Linked DNA regions of Saccharomyces cerevisiae S288C. The gene in region 2 interacts genetically with the main gene of each other region. Each region holds a gene or a part of one and is shown on either strand. Other genes may lie near its edges. The genes, in order: YHR210C and YFT2.

Region 1 (3,792 bases), on a different chromosome or scaffold from region 2:
CAATTTAAAGAGTTTGTGAAAAGCTGGAGCATATACACTTCTTGGGCTAGAGATAATCCCTCGAAACCGGATATTGCCGATATATTCATTAACGAGCTCAAAGAAATCTGTCATTGTGAAGATTTGAATGTACCTTTAAAAATAGAGTGGTCAACGTTTTATTACTTATGTAGGAAAAGAGAATGAGGTTTACTAAATTAAAAGAAATATATAAAAAGCTGATTTTTTTCTTTTTTTAAATATTTCCCAAATGCTAATAAATATTAAAATATGGCAAAAAGAAAATAAGGTGTTGTTGCGCAGTTGGGAGTAATTTAAAACCGTCAACATATGCTCTAAAAATTTTATTGGCTCTAAATTCCGACCTCTGAATGTAATTATGTTTTAAAGCGATACGTAAACTTGTTACTGTTAACATTAAAAGATAATGCAATCATGGTAACATAATAAAGTCTCAAAAAATTCTTAATATTAACTATAACATATGCACTTCAGAAAGCTGTTTCCGGATCATATCTCATTATAAAAAGCTCAATTTATAGAAAAATAATGCGACAGTGCAAAGTAAACAACTAAATTTGGTGCCTACACCGCAAAACGATATCGAGTCTTAGAAGTATATACCTCACCACGTCTCAAAAGAACGCAGTCTCTCCATCCATCACGGTTGATTGCGTCAACATATCTGCCTTGTTCAACGGCAAAGCCAGATCTCGGCGTAAATCCATCACACAAGTTGTCACCTGTGTAAAATAGGACAGTTGGTTCTGTTGTTGAAACCTCCAATGAAAGTCGTGATGCCGGATGATAAGCCTTGAAGGCAGGGACGAGCTTGTTTACACTTACTGAGTCTGTCGTTTTCAAATTCTTATTTTCATCAACAATGAAAGCGTAGTCATAAATCGGGCCATCATCCTGCAGAATGGTAGGTTTGGAGGAGTCAAAAGTAGCAATTTTTCTTTGAACGATTTTACCGGTTGGAATTAGTGCTCCTTCGCTTACTTCCAATGATTTATCTGAGCAGAGCCTAACCTCCGTACCGCTAATGGATTTTTTATCCATAGTTTTGTTTAAATTGAAGTACGTGTGATTCGTCATGTTGATGGGAGTAGCCTCACCGCTGACCAGTTTTGCCTCGTATTCCAAGTCCAAGGTCATGTCAGCAACGTTCAATGTGTACTTTAAGTTTACAGCTAGATCTCCCGGAAATTCATTGGGCAGTGTGCGGTCATCCAATAACGTAAATTCAACAATGTAAAGGTCATCAAGAGGATTTTGGACTTTGGATGCCTTATACTTCTTGAGATGGAAGGAGCTGATGCTACTGTGGTTGGTGTTTCCACAATTGTTCACTGTCAACTGATGAGGTCCATCTTCCATACTGAACATGCCCTTGTAAATACGATTTGCATAACGGCCAACAGTAGCACCAATGTAGTTGTAGCCATCTGATATATAGCCATGAATATCAGGGTATCCTAGAACAATCGATTCGTTGTTCACTTTCAAGTCAAGCAAAGTAGCGCCAAGCTCTGAAATTGTTGCTTGAAGCTTTTTTGCATCACCAATAGTGATGACTTCATATTCACCGCCAGCCTTATTATTTGACATTATCACTTTTTGGCTTTTTAGGTGAATTTACTTATTGCAGTAACATAATGTACAATTGAGTTCCAGTACTTCGTAGTACATTCTGATTTTATATCTCAGAGCATCCAAGGTGTTTACGCATGAATAACCAAACCATGGAGGAGTTACTTTTACCTTTTTTTAAGATATTCAGCTAGTAACTAATTGTCGGAAAAACTTAACAGGTACAAGGCCATATTATCACGTAACAAACCTAATTTTTGTACGATATTAGTGCCCGAGAATTTCTCCGTAGCGTAATTTTCTGCGAGAATTTCTGCGCAGTGCAAAGATATGCGACCTGACACTCTTTACGAAACTTTACCCCTCCCCCACCTCCACCTGCATTTATCCCGTCAAAAAGTGTCAATCACCTGGATGCATAAGGAGGAAAAATTATTCCAAGGATGTTGGACAACGCGAATTTTGGAAGTGACTTCTCATAAGCTTCTGATCTCTACTATATTCTTGTAATTTGGTGGGGTAGTGCAGGCTTACTGTGCGATGAGCAAATCCAGCGTATTGCTCACAGCGATAGGCCTTTGAAATGATATTGTTTGAATGCAAAACGCAGAAATGATATTCAACTTCATAATCTCATTAAACAAGATAGCATGCCAATAGAATTCCATTTTTTCCGATTCTTAGGCCATTTACAACCAAGTATCAACTTTCGTATAATTTTATTTCCATAATTATACGCAAATGCTGCAGTAGTTGCACATAGAATGATGATACGACCTAATAAAGGAAAAGGGGAATCTGTTCTGAGCTGAAAACTGATTCAAAACTCAATTTGGACACTCGGTTCGGGTGCTGGCCAGCAATAGTTTAGTGTTATCATGTCATAATCTTCCTCATAGGTTTCAATGTAATATCGATAATTACAAAGTAGTTCCTTTTCATTTAAATTTATATGCAAGAAGATAAGAGTTGATGTAGCAGTGCACCAGTTTTGCTTTACAATTCTTACAGTTTTATGAAAAATAATCTCCAATATGCCATGCTGAACTGGCATTCTTTTTGAGTGCAAAAGGAGGTTTTGGAAAAACAAAGTCTTCTTCTGCGTGTTACTCTGAAAATGTTGAAAAATAAGCTGAATGGGGCATTACATGTTTTCATCCAAACATGCCTTGTCAATAACGAGATTCGCGACGTATTCTTTTAGTATTCTGTTCCTTTTTTTTTTTGCTCCGCGCGCACTTGAACATCTTGCATATTTTTCTTTTCTGTTTTCATCCAGAGGTTGTGTTCTAGGACTTTCTGACGGAGGAATATCATCAAATCATCACAATAAGATCAATTGCATGGGTTCCAGCACTTAGCCAAATGTACAAATCTTGATATTTACCGGAGACCAACCCTTAGTTTGAAGTGTGCGCTACCAGGGAATCTTCTTCGGTCATTATTTTCTATCTTCACGATAATCGATCCTCCTCCTATACGTTAATATCGACTGATATCTAAATACATCGTTGAAGAACGGCGGAAAAATACTTATTTTCAGGTTGTCTTCGTTTTCACTCACGATAGCAATATGGATCCTTTCACAGCTCCTATCACCGCTGTAGTTTTTTATGACGCTTAATTTCCTGTTAATAAGTAAATAAGGTAAGTTGAAGGTCCTTCATACTGTGATCTGCAATAAACCACATGGCTACCGCACTTCTTGTCACTATCCTATGTGGAGAAAACCCAGAAAAAACTTTAAAGCGTGATTGAAATCAATAATTTGGCAAAGAACTAGAACCATACGCAAGAAAACCTTCCAACTTTGGCATTGTACGCAGAAATGAGACACGTTCAAAGCACAGGTCTTGAAATTTAAAAAAGTTTCTCAAAAGTTCTCCCAAACCTTCAATTTCTATTGGTATAACAGTATTCTAGGAAGAAAACAGGCGAAGAAAGTTTCTTTACTTTCTTCCTTTAATAGACTTTCATGAATATCAAATGCTGTTGTTTTCAACTAAATCAGACAAGCAAAGGCGATTGCTAAAAGTGAACATATGGAAAATATATGGAAAAAATCTAGAGGCAACAAACGTTCGGGTTTCCTTTTAACTCCGAGAAAGAAAAATCATTAGAACTTCGTGTTAATCCTAATAGAGTTCAAATATGCTACTAGTCGTCAGAAACCTCAGTTACATGATTACACATTCTAAG
Region 2 (3,363 bases):
CAGTAACTACAACGGATACGATCCAAAAACCGGATGAGGATTACTATGGAAGCAAGGAAGACCACCTTTACAATGGTGATGACGCCTTAGTTGATGAAGTTAAGGATATGGAAATAGCAAGATTGATGTCTCTAGGTTTATCAATTGAAGAAGCCACTGAGTTTTACGAAAATGACGTAACTTATGAAAGATATTTGGAGATTTTAAAGTCAAAGCAAAAGGAGCGCAACGATCTAGCTATAAGAAAGAAAGAAAGTGGTATAAAAATGGAAAAGTCAGGATTATCCAACATTGTTGGTACAGATAGCAATAATTTATTCAGCATGGCCACTGATTTTTTCAATAAGGGTAAGAAACTGGTAGACCAATGGACCTCCTTCCCACCTGAGGCAAATGATAGACTGAATAATTACTCAAAAACTCATGATAAGGTTGAGGATTATGATTTGCCTCAAGTAAACGACTCACCCAATAGAATTTTGTTTGAAGATAATGAAGTCGTAGAGAACTTACCACCTGCCGATAATCCGGATCAAGATCTTTTAACTGATTTCGAAACAAAGATTGATATAACAAAGAGGACAGCGCCTGATGTCTCCCACTCCTCCTCACCGACTTCTGGTATACTAATTGAAGAAAATTCGCGAAGAAATGAGCCCCTGATAGAGGATAGTCTTCTCGACTTTTCAGAAGGAAATCTCACCAATAGTAAAAGCAATGAAGATAGCACCCTCTTCAATGAAAACAGCAACACTGACTCTACAATACCCATCTCAGATATTGAATTATCGGGGTATAACGAATTTAAGGCGAAAGGTACTAGTTTGTTCAAGAACGGGGATTATATTAACTCATTACAAGAATATGAAAAGTCTTTAAATACATTGCCTTTAAATCATCCATTGAGGATCATTGCATTATCAAACATTATTGCCTCGCAACTGAAAATCGGTGAGTACTCTAAGTCCATAGAAAACTCCAGCATGGCTTTGGAATTATTCCCATCAAGCAAAGCTAAGTGGAAGAATAAAATCTCAAATAGTGACCCTGAAAGATCATTTAACGACATCTGGCCAAAGATTATGATTAGGCGTGCTGAGTCTTTTGAACATTTAGAAAGTTTCAAAAAAGCACTAGAAACATACCAAGAGCTGATTAAGAAGAATTTTTTTGATGATAAAATCATGCAGGGAAAAAGAAGATGCCAAGACTTTATTAATCCTCCCCCTGTTAAAAAATCCATGCCCGTTAAGAAGAAGACAACGACAACCTCGCCTGCAACAAAAAAACAGAACTTAACCGCTTCTTCTTCAAATTCTCCAATTTCTGTTGATAGCACTTCAGAAATAAAAAAACGGGAGCTAGAAAACGCTAAACTGGCGCTATATGATAAAGTATTTGAGAAAATTAGCTCCTGGAAGGATGGCAAAGACGATGACATTCGTCATCTGTTAGCAAATTTATCCAGCTTACTAACATGGTGCAATTGGAAGGATGTCTCTATGCAAGATTTGGTTATGCCTAAGAGGGTCAAAATTACATACATGAAAGCTGTAGCCAAGACACATCCTGATAAGATACCAGAGTCCTTGTCCCTGGAAAATAAGATGATTGCAGAGAATATTTTCAGTACTTTAAGTATTGCTTGGGATAAGTTCAAACTGCAGAATGACATTAACTGATTTCCCTTGTGTGCCTGCTTCGCTCAGTTGTTTTTGATATGTACTTTATACAAATATATATAGGAAAACAAATTCTTCAAAGCGCGTTAGGAAAAAGTATGGAAAGGCTTAGTTTCATTTATTGACTTACAAGTGGCACCCAATTTGATTAATATGAAAAACAATCTGCAAAAAAAAAAAAAAAATTCAAAATATCACAATGTTAAAACACAATAGAAATAGGGCATTGTATTAAAACCACTGAACGACTAAAAATTGAAAAAGATTATGATACGTCAGCTCAATTATTGGTCAAGGAAGGCGTATCTCATTTACCCCTTTCAAGTTTTTGTAGGCGCATTATTATCAATAGTAGTATCTTCAGAAACATTAAACCATCAAAAAGAGACATGCGCTCTATTGAAATCGTCCAATATTTTCAATGTTATTTTTGCATACAAAGCGAACCAACTGTGGCCATTTTTATTCTTTAGTTTGGCTTTTCTGCAAATATACTTCCACTATCTAGCAAGAATGGATATATTGCCTTTACCAATATCAAGTACCGAAACTAGCTCTTCCTATTTAACATATACTAACCATTGGCCTCTGCTCAAAAATAGAATAATCAGTATTATGATCACTCAATATGCTTGCAAGTTCGTTCTAAAATATCTATTATTGTTTTTGAATTTCCAATTTATCGATCATGTTTTCATTTGGACAGGGGGAGAATGCAGTTCTGGTAGTAAAACGACATCAGCTGAAAAGTGCCGTCTAGAAAATGGGAAATGGGATGGTGGGTTTGACATTAGTGGACACTTCTGCTTTCTTGTGAGTATAAGCATGATTCTTTGGATGGAACTTCACTTATTCAGTAGATTTGTTCAAGCTGAAGATATGTTTTGGGTTGTGAATAAGTGGGTACGAGCTTGCCTTGCCATTGTTTGCGCTGTCCTAGTAATTTGGATATGTATTCTCTGGGTTACCGCTATTTATTATCATACTATCTTGGAAAAAGTGTTAGGTTGCCTTATGGGTTTCATATGCCCTGTTTTCATATACCACATTCTACCCAAAATTGGGATACTACACAATTACTTATATCTATGATAAACAGAGAAAATTAGCTCTATCCTCTTTCTATAAAGTATATTTTTGTTAACATTCACTTGAATATTGTCGCGAAAGAATGGTTTAATTTTAATTCCAAATCATCCAAAGAACCGAGCAATGCAATTTCCCATTTACTTTTATTATTTTGACTAAAATCATGAATATCGTCCAATATTGAACATGAAACTATTTCATTTTGTTTTACAAACAACTCGACTTTAATATCCTTCACAAAAAACGAAACCATTGAAGATTCTAAATCTAAATCTAAGTCGTGGATTATCTTCTTAGCTTCTAAGTCCTTAAAAATCTGTCGTCTTTTCTGTACTTCCACAAGTTGCAGGAAGACTCTTTTAGCAAATAAATAGGCGTCATCATGAGATATCACTAGTCCCCCATTGGTGTCATCAAATATACCTTGGACATCAATGAAACTCGGGATTGTATGCTTGAACAGGAACCAACTATTCGATTTGATCCTCTTTTTCAACAATACATAGTGAGGTTTTTCAAATTGGGATGTCCGTTCGCTGAAGACTTCCAGTCGTATTCCCAGCATTTCTCTATCAACAAATATTTCACCGCT

Evidence for each region.
Region 1: mutations in YFT2 (region 2) and YHR210C together harm fitness more than expected from each alone (negative genetic interaction), as found in Saccharomyces cerevisiae (one large-scale study listed by BioGRID).

Annotation. Positions count from the first base shown.
Region 1 is NC_001140.6:520,127-523,918, forward strand, and holds YHR210C (aldose 1-epimerase superfamily protein), read right to left. Parts: upstream 1,612-3,792; coding exon 586-1,611; downstream 1-585. Other genes in the region: CRG1 (S-adenosylmethionine-dependent methyltransferase), read left to right, coding at 1-186.
Region 2 is NC_001136.10:1,104,414-1,107,776, reverse strand, and holds YFT2 (Yft2p), read left to right. Parts: upstream 1-1,949; coding exon 1,950-2,774; downstream 2,775-3,363. Other genes in the region: auxilin-like protein SWA2, read left to right, coding at 1-1,682; MCM21 (Mcm21p), read right to left, coding at 2,830-3,363. UniProt on the Saccharomyces cerevisiae protein: Fatty acyl-coenzyme A (CoA) diphosphatase that hydrolyzes fatty acyl-CoA to yield acyl-4'-phosphopantetheine and adenosine 3',5'-bisphosphate. Preferentially hydrolyzes unsaturated long-chain acyl-CoA substrates in the endoplasmic reticulum (ER) lumen.